4 linked regions of the Caenorhabditis elegans genome follow. The protein of the gene in region 3 interacts with the protein of the main gene of each other region in a pairwise test. Each region holds a gene or a part of one and is shown on either strand. Other genes may lie near its edges. The genes, in order: toca-1, ifas-3, fbxa-157 and skr-20.

Region 1 (5,103 bases), on a different chromosome or scaffold from region 3:
GCAATGCACAATTTGCCGGAACACCTGCTCCTGAGAGCCCAAATGTCATTGACATGCGGGAAGGATTAGGAGATCTTTTTCGAAATTTTTGAATTTCGATTTGCACTGACCAACATTTTGTTTGCATTGACCAAAGCTGCAACTTTCCAACTTTCTAGTTAGACTAGAACAACTCCGAATTTTTCGAATTTTACCCCCTTGTCACCGATTCTCAGTCCCAATGTCACCTTGTCTTAGGTGTACTACCTTTCATTACTAACTTCCGAATACATTTTCTTCGCCTCCTTTTCCCCATTCTTCTTTTTTTTCTACTCAACCTTCCGAGACACGACTACCTATGTGTTGTCGTCGATTTGGCGGGTCACTTGAACTTTTGCGTTTGGCCATGGAAAGATTGGCGAGGCAGGAGGGGGGACAAAAGGAGGCCTGTTTTGCATATTACCTTGAGAAACGTCGGGTACGACAAGCATAGCATTTTTTGGGTAGTTTTTTCTGAGAGTGATTGTAGGGCTTTTTTGGAAGTCCTTTGAAACCAGTATATATATATATATTTTAGTCAGCTTTAGGTTTTTTTTTTTTTTTTTCGGGCCAAGGCAGATGGTGAAGTTAAGGCTAAAATATATGTCAGGGCCAAAAAGTGGAGACCCAGAAAGTTGAGCCTTCAAAAACTAAGCCATTTAGGCTAACTTTTACTTTCTTTATTTAGGCATTTAGGCGGTTGAGCCCTTGAAAGCCGCATCTCCATTTTTTCCGCTCCTTGAGGTTAGGCTTATTTTAAAATCCTTGAGGTCAGGCTTATCATCCTTCAAAGTTTGAGACCAAGAAGGTTAAGCCCCGTAGTTGAAGGATAATTCTGAGCCCACGAACGCCAAGCCCCAAAGAAGCCCAAAGTAATGGCTGGGCACCTGAAGTCTAAGCCTTTAGGCTGCGCTCTTAGCTTAATGCCCTTCTTCAAAAACTGAGTCCCTCGGTACAGACTAAGCTTTTAGGTTACCCTTTAGCTTTTAGGCAAGCTCGGGCCTAATTTCAGGCTTAGCTTCAGACTCAAAATTACGAGATTTCCCTCAACGTAATTCGAAAAAAATTGATTAGACTAGGTATCTCGCGCCGTGCGTATTGTTGTAAACTCTTCATTTTTCGCTCATCAATATCTCCGAAAACCCCGGGACCCCGAGGTCTATCCTAGATAGCAAGATACGCAGACGCACACATGTGTATACATATGCTATTGGGCGAGAAATAGCGTCTCTTCTTTTTCTTCTTCTCTTGGGAGCTACTTTTCGAGGTCCGAGCTGCTGCAGCTCGAGCTGGGTGCTCGAGCTGACCGCGGACCCCACTTCTCGTGACCGCCTATCTTGTTTTTTTCTGTGTTGCTGTTCTCGGATAAATTTGGGATTGGAATGTTTCTTTGGGGTCTAGCCTGTTTCAACGGAAATAAGTGAAAAATTGTTTGCTGATTTTCTTAATTTTTTCACTATTTGCTGATGCTATTTTTGTAAATTCGGTAGCTGAAAATTTCTGGTACCTGGTAACCGTGAACTATACCATATGGAAAAGTTTGAAAATTGGAGGTTTTAGGCCATTTTCGGCTATTAAACTTTTTCCGATTTTTCGAATAATCTAGCACGTTTTAGCGAAATGTTTTTTTTTTGATTAAGCTTGATTTTTTCTATTAATTTCTCAATTTTGCAATAATTTTCTCCACCTTTTTTCAACCTCCCATAGCACTCCAAATACTCTGCTCTTCCACAAAAAATTTACCCCCCCCTCCTGAGCCCCCACAATTATACCTATGCTTCCTTCCGCCTCCCGGTGCCATGAGCACCAACCACAAATTGCTCTCCATTTTTGCTCCACGACACGCCCAACCGTCAACAGCTTAGATTACTGTTTTTGTTCCTATTTACGAACTAAAGTTTTCAATTTTTTTCTCCTTCTCGTTTGTTCGGATCTTTTTTGTGCTGCTCATTGCTGTTAACGTTTTGAGTTTTTTTTCAGACTTCAACTCGAAAAAGTTCCAATTAGTGTTCATAAAAAGAAGGAATCGAGATTGGATTGGATGGTAACAACCTTTTGAAGAAGCGGCGAACAATGAACGACAGTTGCAGTTGGGACCAGCTATGGGTAAGTTTTTATTGAATCCTTGGTAAAAACTAAAATTTAAAATAAGAAAACAGGCTACTAAAATGAAAAAACCGCGGGTCTAAAAAAATGGCCAAAATCACCAAATGTTGAGCTGAATTTTTTACGATTCTAAACCGTGAATCCTCCTTTTTTCCTAGTTCAACATTTCAAAAAATCTACTGATTAAAAGTATGTACATATGTGCCTAAAATTGTAATGTTATGCACTTCACACTGTGAAAAGGTTAGAAGGTTTCCACCAAAATGAGAAAAATGGCACGAAACTTCAGATTTTCAAAATTGGGCGCTGCTTCAAATTGCTGAACTTTTAAAAAATATGTCAAAGTTCCAAGATACCAGGATTATGCCTAATTTGGAAAAAATTGGAAATATAAAATTTTTCCAAATTCTGTTACAGCTCTAAAGCACCCACGCCACGAATTTCCAGAACCTAGAATTTTTCGAGACCGCCGCAGTTTCAAAACTCCAAAATTTGACGAAATTCCGGGCCCAACCACTTTAAGGATTATTTTCTGGGAATATGCAAAAATAGGGATTTCAATTGATATCATGGCAAGACGTCCGCAGGGTTTTGCGCCGCACTATATTTTATTTGCAATTGCCTGGGTGGGGCGCGAAACCCGTTAGATGTCGGACCATAATATCATTTGTATCGATATTGGGGTACTGATACTGGCATGATCACAGATGGGCGGTCCCGATACTTTTTGAAATTCGGTAAAATTCCGAAATTTCTAAAGTTCGGATGAATTTGAAATTTGGCGTTTGCCAACTTCTAGTGCAATTTTATAGTTTCGATGTGGAAAATCCTTGGATTTTTCTCAAATTTTTAATAAAATCTAATGATCCCCCCCCTCCCCCCCACCAAACATTTCTACTCGTTCCTACATACATTTTCGCATATCACATATACCTTCTCGTCTCCCGCATACATAATTTAGTAGTTGTAAGCAAGATCGGGGGGTGGCGGGCGATCACAAAGTAACGGCGGAAGCGGCTCACCCACCCTCCGAACACACTTGAATTAGTCATTTGTTGCTAATGTAGAGGTGGATACTAATAAGGAGTGGCGGGAGGTGTATAGAGAGAGTGAAAGAGAGAGAGAGAGAGAGAGAGAGAGACGCAGAATTAAAAAACAGGGTTACCTAGTGGGTTTGCTGGGCGCACGTTAGTATGTTTTGGTAAATGCGCTCTAATTTTAAAATTCAAAAATGGAGTGGAAATTTCTATAATATATTTTAAAAACATTTTTTTTTATTAAATTGGTCCGTTCACACTGATTATGCCTACTTTTTTAAGACGTTGTATTTTTAAAAATTGATTTCAAAAAAATTAATTTTCTACTCTCTCTCAAAAACTTCTCTTAAAAACTACAAAATCCGATTTTTTTTTCGCCAAAGTTTCTTATCAGTTTACAGAAAAATTGTGAACATTTCAGAAATGCCAGTATGACACATCTTTTTGAACATATCAGTTTGTGCTTGAATTTGATTCAGAAAAACAGCAAAATTTTTTTTCTTTCAAATTTTCCCAATACTTCAGCCAGTTTTTTGTCGTTTATAACAGTAATCTACCGCAGAGATACAAGCTTATAGAACTTAAAGCCGAGAGAGTGTGGGACGAGGGGAGAGTGCAGACTGTCTTCAATTTCTAGTGCTCAAAATTTGAGAGCATGTAACTTGAGAAATGAATTCTGAAAATTGGATTTTCTATCGATTTACTCTTTAAATTTTCAATTAGGGCTCCCATGTGGGTGCCGCAAACGCCGCCCTCACGCCGGGATCCGAAATCTTAATAGCAATGCGCGAAACCCAAAAAATGTCGGATCGCGGCGCCTACATGGGAGCCCTGGTTTTAATATAATAATGGTTCCGAACAGTTTTATTAATAAAATTGCACAAACTTTCTGATCGTCGGTTCTCCGCTCTTTCCTTATCGTTCACTTCTCGCCAATTTAATAGGCAAAAGCGGTAGTTGGGGAAGGGCGGAAAGCGCAAATAAACACAGCTTCACTCTCTTTTTCTCCCTTTTTCGGCACCAAAATCGTACTTTCTGTGATTGTATTTGTGTTTAGCAGGGAATTATCAATAAGATTAGAAGGTTTTTTAAAAAGAAAATTTTTTGTGGGGTCCCTGTAACCTTGGATGTAATTTTATAACATGGTGCATCGACTGAAAACTACACTAGCAATTTTTAAGTTTACGGTTGAAACTTGTCACTTTTACATACATATTAAGGGTTATCAGTATATTATTCATTCAAAATTTGTGCTAGTAAAGTGAAATTTTTTCTCTGTTTGAAAAAATATGATAAAATGCCAAAAAGAACGTCATTTCCTATGACAAATTTTGTCCGATGCACCATGTTCAAAAAATTTCTTTGGCTCTCACATATTTTTCAGGTTTTACCGCCAAACTTATCGGACTTTTCCAGTCGATGCACCATGTTCGGATTTATTTTTCTAGACAAAATTATTGCTGCTCCTTCAAAAAATATCGATTTTTTTACCTGATGCACCATGTTCAAGTTTTCTGAGAAAAATTTCTGTAATAGTCGAAAAGTTACCGAGAACATTTCAAAACGAAAATGTCATTCTGCTTCCGTTCCCCATTCCCCCCTACTTCTTCAGCCTTACTGTCAATCCATTTCAATTCTACAACCATTTTTCTTCATCTCCCCTCATTTTCCCTTCCTCCTCCCCCTTCTAACTTCTTCTTCTTCTTCTAGTCGCGTCGTCAATCGGTGTTGGGGTCGACAATTCATTGTATATGTAGATCACATTGCATTCGGATTGCGCCCTTCCGTCCTGGCGATAGTTTCTAGGACGCCGCGCCTTGGACACTCACCGCACCTTTTTTCTGCAAAGTTTGAGTTTTTGCTTGGGGCACTTTAAGTCTGATTTACATGGAAATTAGACTATATGAGCTCTTAATTTAAGTTGCTCAAACTTTTTGAAAGT
Region 2 (3,777 bases), on a different chromosome or scaffold from region 3:
AATGTTCTGAAAACTTCGGAAAATATTGAGAAACTTCCGAAAAAATCTGGAAAAAATTGAAAAAATCTGGAAAAAATTGAAAAAAAAAATGGAAATTACACATACTTTTTTAAAAATTGTGTGTTTTTGGCATTCAGTTGTAGTTAACTACTTAACTAAATGTTGCTAGTTTTTATATCGAAAATGTGAAACAGAAATTATTTGTGAAAAAAAATAAAATTTTACTGTTTCACGCTTTATTTATAACTTATATACATTTTTATAATTTAATATCTTATAATTACTCACAATAAGTGTCACCTGGGACCATCTTCGTCATAGTCGCCCTATGGGTATATCTGACGTATCCATGAGATCCCTGGTCTTTCCATGACGTAGTGGTGGCCTTGGCGGTCCATCGAAGAGCATCCTTAGATAATCCGTACATCACATATGGCGTCACATTTGGTACTGAAAATTCCAGAATATTTGTGGAATTCATTGTGGAATTGAAATGTAGAAAACGGGAAAGTTTTTGAGAACTAGATGAAGCAGTGTAAAAATTTTAATTATAATATTCTGTTTATTTAAGGAAATTTTTTTTTAATAACACGCCTATAATGGCATTTTACATTGAAAAAAAAAAACTGAAACAGTAAAAAATTTGAAAATTGTTTTAAAAAAGTTGGTTTTCTTCAAATGTGGCAAAATAATACAACAAATAATATGTGAATTATTCAGAGGAAAAAACGTCATTAACAAATTTTGAAAAACATACACACTTAAAATAGAGTTTTCGAAACAGTAAAAAAATTTTCATAATTTAGAAAAAAAATTTGTAGAAAATTTCACTGGATGCTTAGAAACCCATTATTGAAAAATCAATATGAAAAAACAAAAAAAAACCCACGAGGTCCCTGCGTTAGCCACGTCACAACCATTTCATCCATTTTCCCGCTCAAACTGAGATGAACCTGCTCCACCCGATTCGCTGTCACATTTTCAGAGAAAATCAATAAAACCAACGAAACTAGCAGTTTTCTCATCGTTTTTCTGGGAAAATGATGAGTTTTCCATCTGAAATTCTTTGGTTTTATAGTTTTTAATCTGTTCCGATTCGCGTCGTTTCCGATGTCATTCTTCTTGAGTTATGACTGATTAGCAATAAAAAAATGATAAGAACTGTAGATTTGATGATAATTCGTTTGATTGATGGGGAAAAATGGGGAAAGTTAATTTTTTGCAAAAAAAAATGCAAATCAAATAATAAGATTTGCATCACTAGAAACATTAAAAAATAAAGGTGAAACAGAAGATTTTGTCTTAAAAATTTCAAATTTCTTGCAATTTTTTTGTAAAAAAACTCAAATTTTTCACATAATCATTTGTAGGAATTTACACTCAAAAAAAAAACTGCGTGGGCGTGTACTGCAGAAAACGTAATATTTAGGCCCCGCCTTTTTCTCGTCCACTAACGGAGAAAATGCAAAAATTTTGACCCCAACCAATATTAGGCCGCCGACATATCACGGGTTCCGCGCGCCGCTATGTTTGACTCGCAGCAGGCGGAGACAGCTCGCCACGCCCACAGCGAGCTAAACGCAGCGACGCGCGGAACCCGTGAGATGTCGGCGACCTGAAATTGGTTGGGGTCAAAATTTTTGCCTTTTCTCCGTGAGTGGACGAGAAAAAGGCGGGACCTAAATATTAGGTTTTCTGCAGTACACGCCCACGCAGTTTTTTTTTATTTTGAGTGTAGTCTGATCTATTTGCGTTTGACCAAAAAAACATTTCTAAGTGGAAAAAGCTGAACAGTAAACAGCCACTTAAGTTTGTACTTACTAACATAAGATGAAACAGTCATATTATTTTCCATTGTTTACCTTTTCTTGCTCATTATTTCTTTTAAACAAGCACAGAGTTTTTGCACAATATAATTTCTCTGCTTCTAATTTCTCTAATTTTTTAACTGTAACTATTAACTGCTTAGAAGACAACCATGAAAAAAAAAAAATTTTTCTGTAACAGGAATTTTTTTGAGAAAAAAAAATCATTTTCCAGATTTGACTGGAAATAAAACTGTTAACGTTCCCCATGTTTTTCAGATTGAATATTTTCATTTGGGAATGCAAGAAGAAAGTTATTACAATTTAACAGTTGGCGATACACATGATCGACTGGTAGGCTCTTTTTTTAAATAATTAAATTGTTATAAAAAATATTTTCAGCACAACTTTCAAATAACCGTCGACACTGACTATCGGAACTTTGTTCAACTAGTCAACACGATGAGATCACCTAACATTGCACAACAAGACCGGGCTTTTCTACAATTACAACAGCTAGGATTACAGCACCCGGACTACATTCGAAAAGCCCGAGTCCCAGAAACCATGCGGCAGTTCGCAGAAGGTGCCGCCGGAAAACGGAGGATACGTTCGTGTCATGGAACATATCTTCATTGGTATGACGAAGGATTGAAGGTTTCAAAAAAGTAAAAAAAAACTGTGCTGATAGAGAATAATTCTAGGTTGACATGAAGTCGGGCGAAGCGGGGACATGTGAAAATTGGATTATTGAGGACTGGAACGAGAAAGTGGTTTTCAGGGCAGTTGATCCACGGGGCAAATATCTAAGGTACGTGTAGGCTCTGTAAAGACATGTGGTGTCAGAGTGTCCCATTTCGGTTAAATATATGAAACTTGCGAGAAATTTAAAACTGTTGCGTGTACACTTATATAGGCCCACGGAGAAAAGGCAAAAATTGGCGCCCCAATCAATATCAGGCCGCCGACATTTGACGGGTTCCGCGCGCCACTACGTTCAGCGGGCTTGGCGAGCTGTCCCGCCCTCTGCGAGGAAAATATAGTGGAGCGCGGAACTCGTAAGATGTCGGCGGCCTGATATTGGTTGTGGTGCCAATTTTTGCCTTGCGACTATACAGTACTACAGAAGCGACTATACAGTACTACAGTACAGTACTTAAACTTCCAACGTATAGAATTTGAAAATTGAAAAGAAAAAACTTTCTAGCATCTAGAAGTGAGCCTAAAAAACATTGCAGAGCTTGCCTGGGGAGCAACCAGCTGACTCTAGTATACATTCCTGAGCCAACGGAACTGTGGAGCCCATTCGAAAATGGCAACGGGACCTGGTCGTTTCTCAGTTCTAACGGAACATGGCTCAGTGCTCACGAAGATGGGCAAGTGTGCACTGTGAAGGACCGTCAAGCGTGTGAAGAATTTTTGTTAGAGTCGTGGTAACTTATTTTTTGTTAATAAAATAAATATTTGATTTTGATACTATTGCACTGCAAGGAACGACTCGAAACCGGGCAGATGTCTGGCCATGTATTAGTGTACAGATGATTCTAGACACTTTTGCAAAAAGTTCAGAAATCGAAATCACAAACTGATAAAATCATAATTAGGTGCAAGCATGTGTGGGTGTATCATTTGCTGATTTTGCCAGAAGAGTGACCATTGATAATAACCTTGAATTTGTGTTATAGGCGAAACAGTGAAAGTTTAAAACTGTCCAAAAATTTATTGAATTACTGTTTCAGATAGTCTACTTTTAAAAACTTGTTTTTTATTATTTAATTATGATCTGACAACTCGTTTTCCAATTTCTAAAAAGTTTTTGTAGGAGTTAATTGAGGTTTAAATTTTAAAATGTTTAATTTATGAAACTGTTGGGAACTGGAAAATTGAAAAAAAAAACTATGTAATTCGTTGCGTTCATCCTTACAATATCTTTGACCAATTGTAGTTATGAAATTATGTTAATTTATGTAAA
Region 3 (4,724 bases):
AAATTCGTGTTGAATGATGTGTCCATTCTTACAGGGCTCTTTTTATATGGAACACTGACAAAAGAGGTATCCAATAAAAACATGTTATTCTGCATTTTCAGATATATGATACCTTTTGTATTATCTGTTTTCAGAATACAACAATACTTCAAAAACATCAAAATAACAATTTTCGAATTTATCCACCAGTTAGTTACAAAAATATGTTTGTAATACATGTTTTTATTGGATATCTCTTTTGTCAGGTTCCAGGAACTGATCCAACTGAGGAAGTCAATGATGTCACAAGTTGAAGAACAGTTGCCAAAAGCCCAGTCACCACTTGCAACACAGCATCCACTTGCACTTGCTCAGTCTGGAACCGTCACTGTATTTTTGTAACCACTAAGAATACAGAAACTTTCAACGGCTCCAACATCTGGAACTTCTGGAACTGGAACCTCCAATGAGCATCCCAAGTTAGCAACACAAGCGATGAGGGCAAGAAGGTAGAAGATGAAATTCGTGTTGAATGAATTGTGACTATTCCATTCTTACAGGGCTCTTTTTATATGGAACACTGACAAAAGAGGTATCCAATAAAGACATTTTATTCTGCATTTTCAGATATACCTTTTGTATTATCTGTTTTCAGAATACATCAATACTTCATAAATATCAGATATTAAATTTATCCAACAATTGAATTGAAAAATACTTGTAACGATACCTCTGAACATTGATGTTTTACCTTTAATAGCCTACTTCACATGGTCATGTCAGATAAGTTACATATTAGCTTGCATATCTTCAATTTCACTCACTCAGAATGTTTTCAACAATTCATTCATGCTTTTTATTGTATATGTATATTACAATTGTTGGATAAATTTAATATCTGATATTTGTGAAGTATTGTTGTATACTGAAAACAACTATTACAAAAGGAATGTCTGAAAATCCAGAATAAAATGTTTTTATTGGATACCTCTTTTGTCAGTGTTCCATATAAAAAGAGCCCTGTAAGAATGGACACATCATTCAACGCGAATTTCATCTTCTACCTTCTTGTACTTATCGCCTGTGTTGCTAACTTTGGGTTTTGCCAGAACACTGGGAGAGTTGTGAGTATCGACGATCAAACTCGTTACTTGACGGAATTGCTTAACGAAGTTAAGGATAGATTCGAAAGCACATCGGACCAGGTGTTTTCATCATCTGATAAAAAGCAGGATTTGGTGGATTCATTGCTGGATCAGATCGACAAACTATTCCTGGAGGAGGATTCACATCCTAAGTAATTCAATAAATCATGTTGTTATTTTGGGAATAAATATATCGAACATTGTGAATTTGCCTTCTTTCTTTTAAAAAAGATTATTATATTACAGAGTGACACGCTCTCCTCTAATCCAAATATTTATTAGAGCGCGCTTGCTAAACTTCGCGTTTCTGTACATCTTGCGCTGTGGGTGAAAGTTTCAATTTTACAGGTTTTAATGAGATTATTTCGTTATTTTCTATTTTCTAGTGAACGAGTGGCCAAAAAATAAAGAAATTGTTATTTTTTCACTCTATTTTTTCACTAGAAATAGTAGTAAACCATGAGTCACATGAGCCCATCTCAAACCATAAAATGCTCTATTCACTTCCTTTCACACATTTTTATGAGGAATACTGATAACAATCGGAGGAAAACTACGCTCGTAAACCCGTGGCCTCTTTTCAACCAACTGTAACCATTTTCTAACTGCCATTAGATTTCGTCCACTTTCCAAATAACTTTGCTCACTTCTCCACCAACTTTCACCAACTTTTTCCAATTGCTCAGAGCATTAAATCATTGCCCAATTTTCCTCAATATTTTTTCCTAAAAAATTACCTCAATTTTTGAAATTTTCTCTTCTCTTCTCACTGTTGTCAATTTTTAGCTAGTTTATTGATTCTCTCGATTTCGAAAAAAAAAAACCTTTTATGAAAACTTGAGAAAGTCTAATTTTTCGTGAAAAAACTCTTCACCGCCCATGAAATCACGAATTTATTTTTTGTTGTCAAAACGTTCCTGGTAATTTTTAACATCGGCCATGATGAAGAAATTTTCAGGGAAAATTCGAGCGGTTCAGTCTCAATGGATCAGTAAGTTTTTCATTTTATCCAACTTTAATTTCAATCAAAATCTGAGATGGAAAAAAGACGAACTTTGTATTCTCCAATGAAAAGTATAACTTCAATTTCAGAATCGATCGTAAAGTTAAATGCATCGTCACGGACTCACGAGCACTGCGAATCTGTATCCTATTCCAACTTCTTCAAGAAATTCCAGTTCTCGATGCATACGAAGCAATGTGCAAGGCATTTGGTGAGCAGTTCATGGAATACCTCCATTTTGAATATTGGTATATGGGACTTTCAAATGGAAGTCTGAACTTGGACTCATATGATAGGTTCGTGTTTTTTCAATCAATGAAGTATGAGAGTAACTATTACAGATTTTATTCATCAGAGAGGAAAGAATGGAAATCTGTTACGAACTACCTTCAAACAATGATTCTGGATAAACTGAACCCAATTGATCGGTATAAATTGATTGCATAGTTTTGTTTTGTAAATACAAATTGTTTTCAGGTTTACTGCAGGTGCGGTTTGTTGTAGTTTTAAATCTATAATCGATTATCAACGTTCTAACTTGAAGAAATTTCATATTTTTCAAGAAGAAAATAACGTTTCTTTGTATATGAACGATAACCTTGTGACCTATGAATTGGACGATGATGACTGCCTTGTGACTTATGAAGAACGGGAGCTTCTTGTTAAGAACAAACGGCCATTGGAGGTTGCTATGAATGATGCATCAAGACTTTTGAAGTGCAGAGGATTAAATCTGGATTATTTCTACGTTAATGGAGTTAAGGACGAAGGGCTCATTTTATTTGATGCTCTTAAAAATGTACTTCAATCAGTTGGAGTCTTGACGACAAAATCAGTATTGATCAATTGGCTTCCTTCTGTTCAAATTGCTGAAATTCTAGAACACTTCAATACTGAAATTTTAGAGGACTTGACAATTAAAAGTAGCGAATCCGATGAAAATTCCATAAAACGTCTGGTGCGCCTTGAACAATGGAAACAAGCAAAGACTCTGACATTGTCTCCTGTTCCACATTATTCACTTATCGTCAAGCATCTTGCTCACTTCCAATCACTGAACTTTGACTTTTCTGAGGAAGCTTTCCCAAGAGGTGATATGATCAAGCTTCGAGATGTGAGTTTCCTACGATACATTAATGTAGGGCTTCCGTTTGAGAGCGGCGCGGCGTCGGCGCCTCACGTCGGCGCGTCGCGCCGGCCGGCTTTTGCCGTCGCCGCTCTGTGCATATTGGCGTGAACTCCGGTGTTTGCGTAGTGTGGATATATGTCTGCACACCGTAGTTGTTCAACGTTAATTTGCGCAACGTGGTGCGAGAGGTGTAGTCGAATTTTTTATTGCTTTATTAGGCTCAACATAGTATGAAAACACCGAATTTCATAATGAAACTTCTTGAAAATTCTAAAAAAAGTTATGGAGGCTCAAAAAATGGCCTGAAATTAGTCAAAATGTGAAATTTAACCGACTTCTCAATGTCGCAGTGGCTGGAGAATTTTTTTTTTTGAAATCACCGTCACATTTTGGGTATAATTATCTTGCGTTTTTAACTTCTTTTAGGTACTTTAAAGTCGATGGACGGCGAGATTTTGTAAAAAAATTAAAAATATTTAAAATAATCCAGCCGCTGCGACATTGACAAGTCTGTCAAAATTCAAATTTTAACTAATTTTAGGGGTCATTTTTTGAGCCGCCATAACTTTTTTTAGAGAAGTTTTCAAGAAATTTCATTAATAAATTCGGTGTTTGCAGACAATTTTAAGTCTAATAAAGCAATAAAAAAATTCGACTACACTACCTTAAATTTTATAGTATAAACTTTCAGGAGATTCTTCTAAAATCCACCAAGTTTGAATATTTTACTTGTGAAAGAGTGAAATTTGATGCGACACTGCTCGTTAGAGTTTTTAAGCCACGCTCACCTCCAAGTGGTTCAACTGGATCAATTGTTTATAAATCTAGAAATGAAACATTCGACATTGCTTTTCATCCTGATGGTTTCAGTATCAAGAAGAGAATTGCCTCGCAACATTGAATTCGTAAATATTCGGATAATAAAGTTTTTATTCTCTACAAATCCCTTTCTTTGTTAAAGGTGGAGTAGCGCCAGTGGAGAAATTGCTATAAAAAATACCTATGGTACTACAATGACCAAATATCATAGTAAAAAAAATTCAAAAAACTATTCTAAATTTTATATGATTTTTTGAAAATTGAAAAAATCTCGAATTTCATCAAATTCCCATTTCAACTACCGCCAATAGTCGATGTTCGAAGGAGCGTGCTTGCATTATTTTAACTTCTATTTATTCATTTTTCTTATTTTTGATTGATTTTTCATGTTTTTTTTGAGTAATTTTACTGGAAATTACATGAAAAATTTAAGATAAATGTAGATTGTTCACTAAAAATAATTGAAAACAGAGATAGCACGTTTTTCAACGACGTTGAGCCTGAAATAATCTATTTCAAAGATTTAGATTTTAGCGCCCGCTTTTTAATAGAAAATTTGCATTTATCTTGAATTTTTCATTAAATTTCCAGTAAAATTACTCAAAAAACATGAAAAATCAATCAAAAATAAGAAATAGGAATAAGGCGT
Region 4 (3,199 bases), on a different chromosome or scaffold from region 3:
CTCGAAAGAATGAAAAGAAAAAAGGTTTCATATGTCAGTTTCTAGCATAAAAAGGAGGAAACTGGTTATTTTATTTTCCCTTTCAAATTTGAAGTTAGAATTCGAATTTTTTTGCTATTTTCACAGGAATAATTTAGTCGTTCTAATACCGTGTGAGCCGAACAAGAAAACAAAAAAAAATCAATTTTTCCAGACCTTTCCTGTAATGAAATATTAGGTTCTTATCTGATGACACTCTTCCTTTTGATAGTTGTGTTGTGTGAGTTCACGTGACTTTCCATATTTCTAATGGCCGTGGAAGAGAAACGCGTCGTCTGCCAGCCTTCGGGGGAAGACGTTGGTGCTGAAGGTGTGCTTGAGGAGCGCACATAAACTTATCGATTTTCTTGAAATCTTGATTTTCAAACATTTTAGTAAAATAATACATTCTTGAAACGCTATTTTCAAATCAGTTTTTCCTAATGTGCTATGTAATTGAACTGTTCAACAGAAAGTAATGATTGTCGTGACTTATCAGTGACTTTTTTTTCATTTTTTTTGTACCAACTAGTGGTCACCCATCATATTCTTGACATACACTTTATTGATCCAAAAATTTCTGTGTTTAACATTGTAATAGTTCTAAGAATCGGATAAAAAAACTTTATTTTCAGCTACGTTTTTTAAAGCAAAAGTGCGAAAGAAATTATTACACATTGAATTTTATTGTCAAACGATTTAATTTAGTTTTTTCTTCTGCAAGAAACTACATACAAATAGAACTTCATCTAGAAAATTTAAGGAAATAGTTTGAATCCTGACTATTACTATTATTTGCTAATTTTTTTTCTTCTTTTCATTCTTTCTACTACAGACATTTTCAAGTATTTCAGTGTAATGCAAGTTGAAGAACCTGTAATACTCTACAAACTTCGGTCAACAGATGGGCAGAGATTTCTGGCAGATAGGCGAACAATCGGAATGATAGGACGGATTGAGGACCTATTTAGAAATGCTGGATTAGACCTGATTCCTGCCGATCAACTGCAGCCAATTCAACTAGAAATCCCTGCGACAGTGATGAGGAAAGTGATCGAGTGGTGCGACCATCATAAGCACGACCCGCCCTACGACGAATCTGAACCGGAAACCAATGATATTCCTGACTGGGATGCGTCGTTTCTGATGGTGAGGCACAACATGCTCTTTGATATAATCCGAGCCGCGAGGGATTTTACTGTACCTGGTCTCTTCGCCATGTGCTGCCGTGTCGTCGGACAAAATCCTAGAGAGATTATTGACGGATTGGTGAATGATGAAGAGGAGGAGCAGCCAGTATATCCAGTGGTGGCTGCAGCGGCTTAGGAATTTCATTTCAGATGTGTGGTGTTTCGTATGGTATGGGAAAATTTAGACTATTTGTTTTCATTTCAGTAAATATTTGAAGTGAGAAAAATGTAATCATAAGATCAAAGTTGAGCCCATTTTTGAAATTTTTGTGATAATTTGGGCAACATTTTAGCAAAAGTATTCTTCGTCTTTTATATTTTACAGAAAAAATGCAAAAACCATACTAATTTTGTAAACAATGCAACTTTATTTTTCAAGTTTGAATCAAAAATTCTCTTCTCGATTCCCTACAAAAAAACTTAAATACAACCACCATACTTCTCAGCCACCACCACATTTAATGCTAATTTCCCGTGTTCAACCGTCTTGTATTCAATTTTATTTTCTCTGCTTCTTCGTTCAATTTATATTTTAAAACTTTCGCTGTAGATTTGTAATATAGAAAATTTGCCTTTGATCAACTTGACTCACAACGCCATTCACTTTTCTTCAAAAAATTTTACAATTCCAGTTTTTAATCGTTTCATTCCATCTTTAATAAATTCATAGTGTATTCTTCCAGCTCTTTTCCACAGGTCTATGATTCGCCAAATAAATAATAAAAATTACTTTAAAGATATCTCATTTATATATTTATTTTTGTGTGGTTTGAATCCACTCAATAATATTTTTGAAACAATTGCAAAACTATTTAATCAATTACCTTTAGTTCCACATCATGACCACACCACGATCTGCGCCCTTGTACAAACTGAAGTCAGAGGATGGTCAAATTTTTAATGTCGAACGAGGACCAATGAAATTTTGTGCATTTATCAATCAGAAGTTTATTGACCATGGAGTGAACGACAGAAATTGTGAACGAGCAGATCCAATTCTCGTTCCATTCCACTCATCGATTGTTCAAGCTGTAATAGAGTGGCTTTACCATTATCAGGACAACCCGCTCGCCCGACGAGACTCCAAAATTCGTTACCACGATTTTTCCGAATGGGACAAGCAGTTTTTCAACGTGGAATCGGGAGTTCTTTTTGCACTACTCAATGCTTCTCATGCGCTTGGAGTCGAAGATTTGATGAATATGGGGTGTGCAGCCGCAGCAGAATTGATTCGAGGAAAAAGCACGGAAGAAATTCGCAAGATCTATGGAATCAGGTCAGATGAAGAACAAATGGAGGAAGCGTTGGCAAATGGTGGAGAGGGAACATCTGCAATGACATTCACAACGGATTCTGATTGATGTTTAATTTCACATATTGTGAAGAAGATGTTTGAAAGAATATATTTATACACTTTGATTCAAGTTTATTTGTGAATAAATTATTTTACAAACCTCATAAATGAAAAATTGAAGTTATAAGAATGTAAAAGAATAGTTGGAAAACAAAACAAACAACTAAAGTGTCACTACTAATTAAAAAATTGCTTAAAATTAAATATCAAAGAACCATATGTAAATCAAGTTCTCGTTGTTTCAGAATATGAGGTGAGCCCCCAAATTACCGGATTTTTATTTCCGATTTTTTCTGATTTTGCATCCAATTTGGCCGAACTTGTACATTTCTGGTGTTTATTGCAAAATACTAGGTTTTAAAAGAACTAAACGTTTATAAACTTCATGACGGAATTGAATGCAGCGTTCTGATTACTAAATCTGGAAAATTTAATAGTGTGCTTTTTTTTAAAGTTTTTTTTTTCATCTGCCTTAATTTGCCCTTTTTTGTGGAATATTATTTTTCAATTTTGTTAGTTAAGTAAAGTTTCACTATGCTCAATTCTTCAGACTTTGGGGGGATAACTTTTTCGAGAGTTGTGATTAAAAGATACATAATATTCATATATCCAGTGCCGGTTGTTTCCAATAATAGTT

Evidence for each region.
Region 1: the proteins of fbxa-157 (region 3) and toca-1 interact in a two-hybrid assay, tested with the Caenorhabditis elegans proteins (one large-scale study listed by BioGRID).
Region 2: the proteins of fbxa-157 (region 3) and ifas-3 interact in a two-hybrid assay, tested with the Caenorhabditis elegans proteins (one large-scale study listed by BioGRID).
Region 4: the proteins of fbxa-157 (region 3) and skr-20 interact in a two-hybrid assay, tested with the Caenorhabditis elegans proteins (one large-scale study listed by BioGRID).

What each region holds. Positions count from the first base shown.
Region 1 is NC_003284.9:1,518,383-1,523,485, reverse strand, and holds the start of toca-1 (Transducer of Cdc42-dependent actin assembly protein 1 homolog), read left to right. Parts: upstream 1-1,998; 5' UTR 1,999-2,091; coding exon 2,092-2,124; intron 2,125-5,103. UniProt on the Caenorhabditis elegans protein: Plays a role in protein trafficking, actin organization and embryonic morphogenesis. Potentially acts as a cdc-42 effector. May play a role in hypodermal P-cell nuclear positioning.
Region 2 is NC_003282.8:15,949,190-15,952,966, reverse strand, and holds ifas-3 (Ig-like domain-containing protein), read left to right. Parts: upstream 1-2,078; 5' UTR 2,079-2,105; coding exon 2,106-2,159; intron 2,160-2,207; coding exon 2,208-2,462; intron 2,463-2,509; coding exon 2,510-2,616; intron 2,617-3,043; coding exon 3,044-3,242; 3' UTR 3,243-3,275; downstream 3,276-3,777. Other genes in the region: Y105C5B.15 (Purple acid phosphatase), read right to left, coding at 289-450, 890-1,025.
Region 3 is NC_003283.11:17,897,721-17,902,444, forward strand, and holds fbxa-157 (F-box domain-containing protein), read left to right. Parts: upstream 1-2,082; 5' UTR 2,083-2,107; coding exon 2,108-2,115; intron 2,116-2,216; coding exon 2,217-2,423; intron 2,424-2,468; coding exon 2,469-2,555; intron 2,556-2,604; coding exon 2,605-3,241; intron 3,242-3,947; coding exon 3,948-4,157; 3' UTR 4,158-4,186; downstream 4,187-4,724. Other genes in the region: C06H5.13 (FIP (Fungus-Induced Protein) Related), read right to left, coding at 1-26.
Region 4 is NC_003284.9:13,222,386-13,225,584, reverse strand, and holds skr-20 (Skp1-related protein), read left to right. Parts: upstream 1-2,047; coding exon 2,048-2,569; downstream 2,570-3,199. Other genes in the region: skr-19 (Skp1-related protein), read left to right, coding at 877-1,344.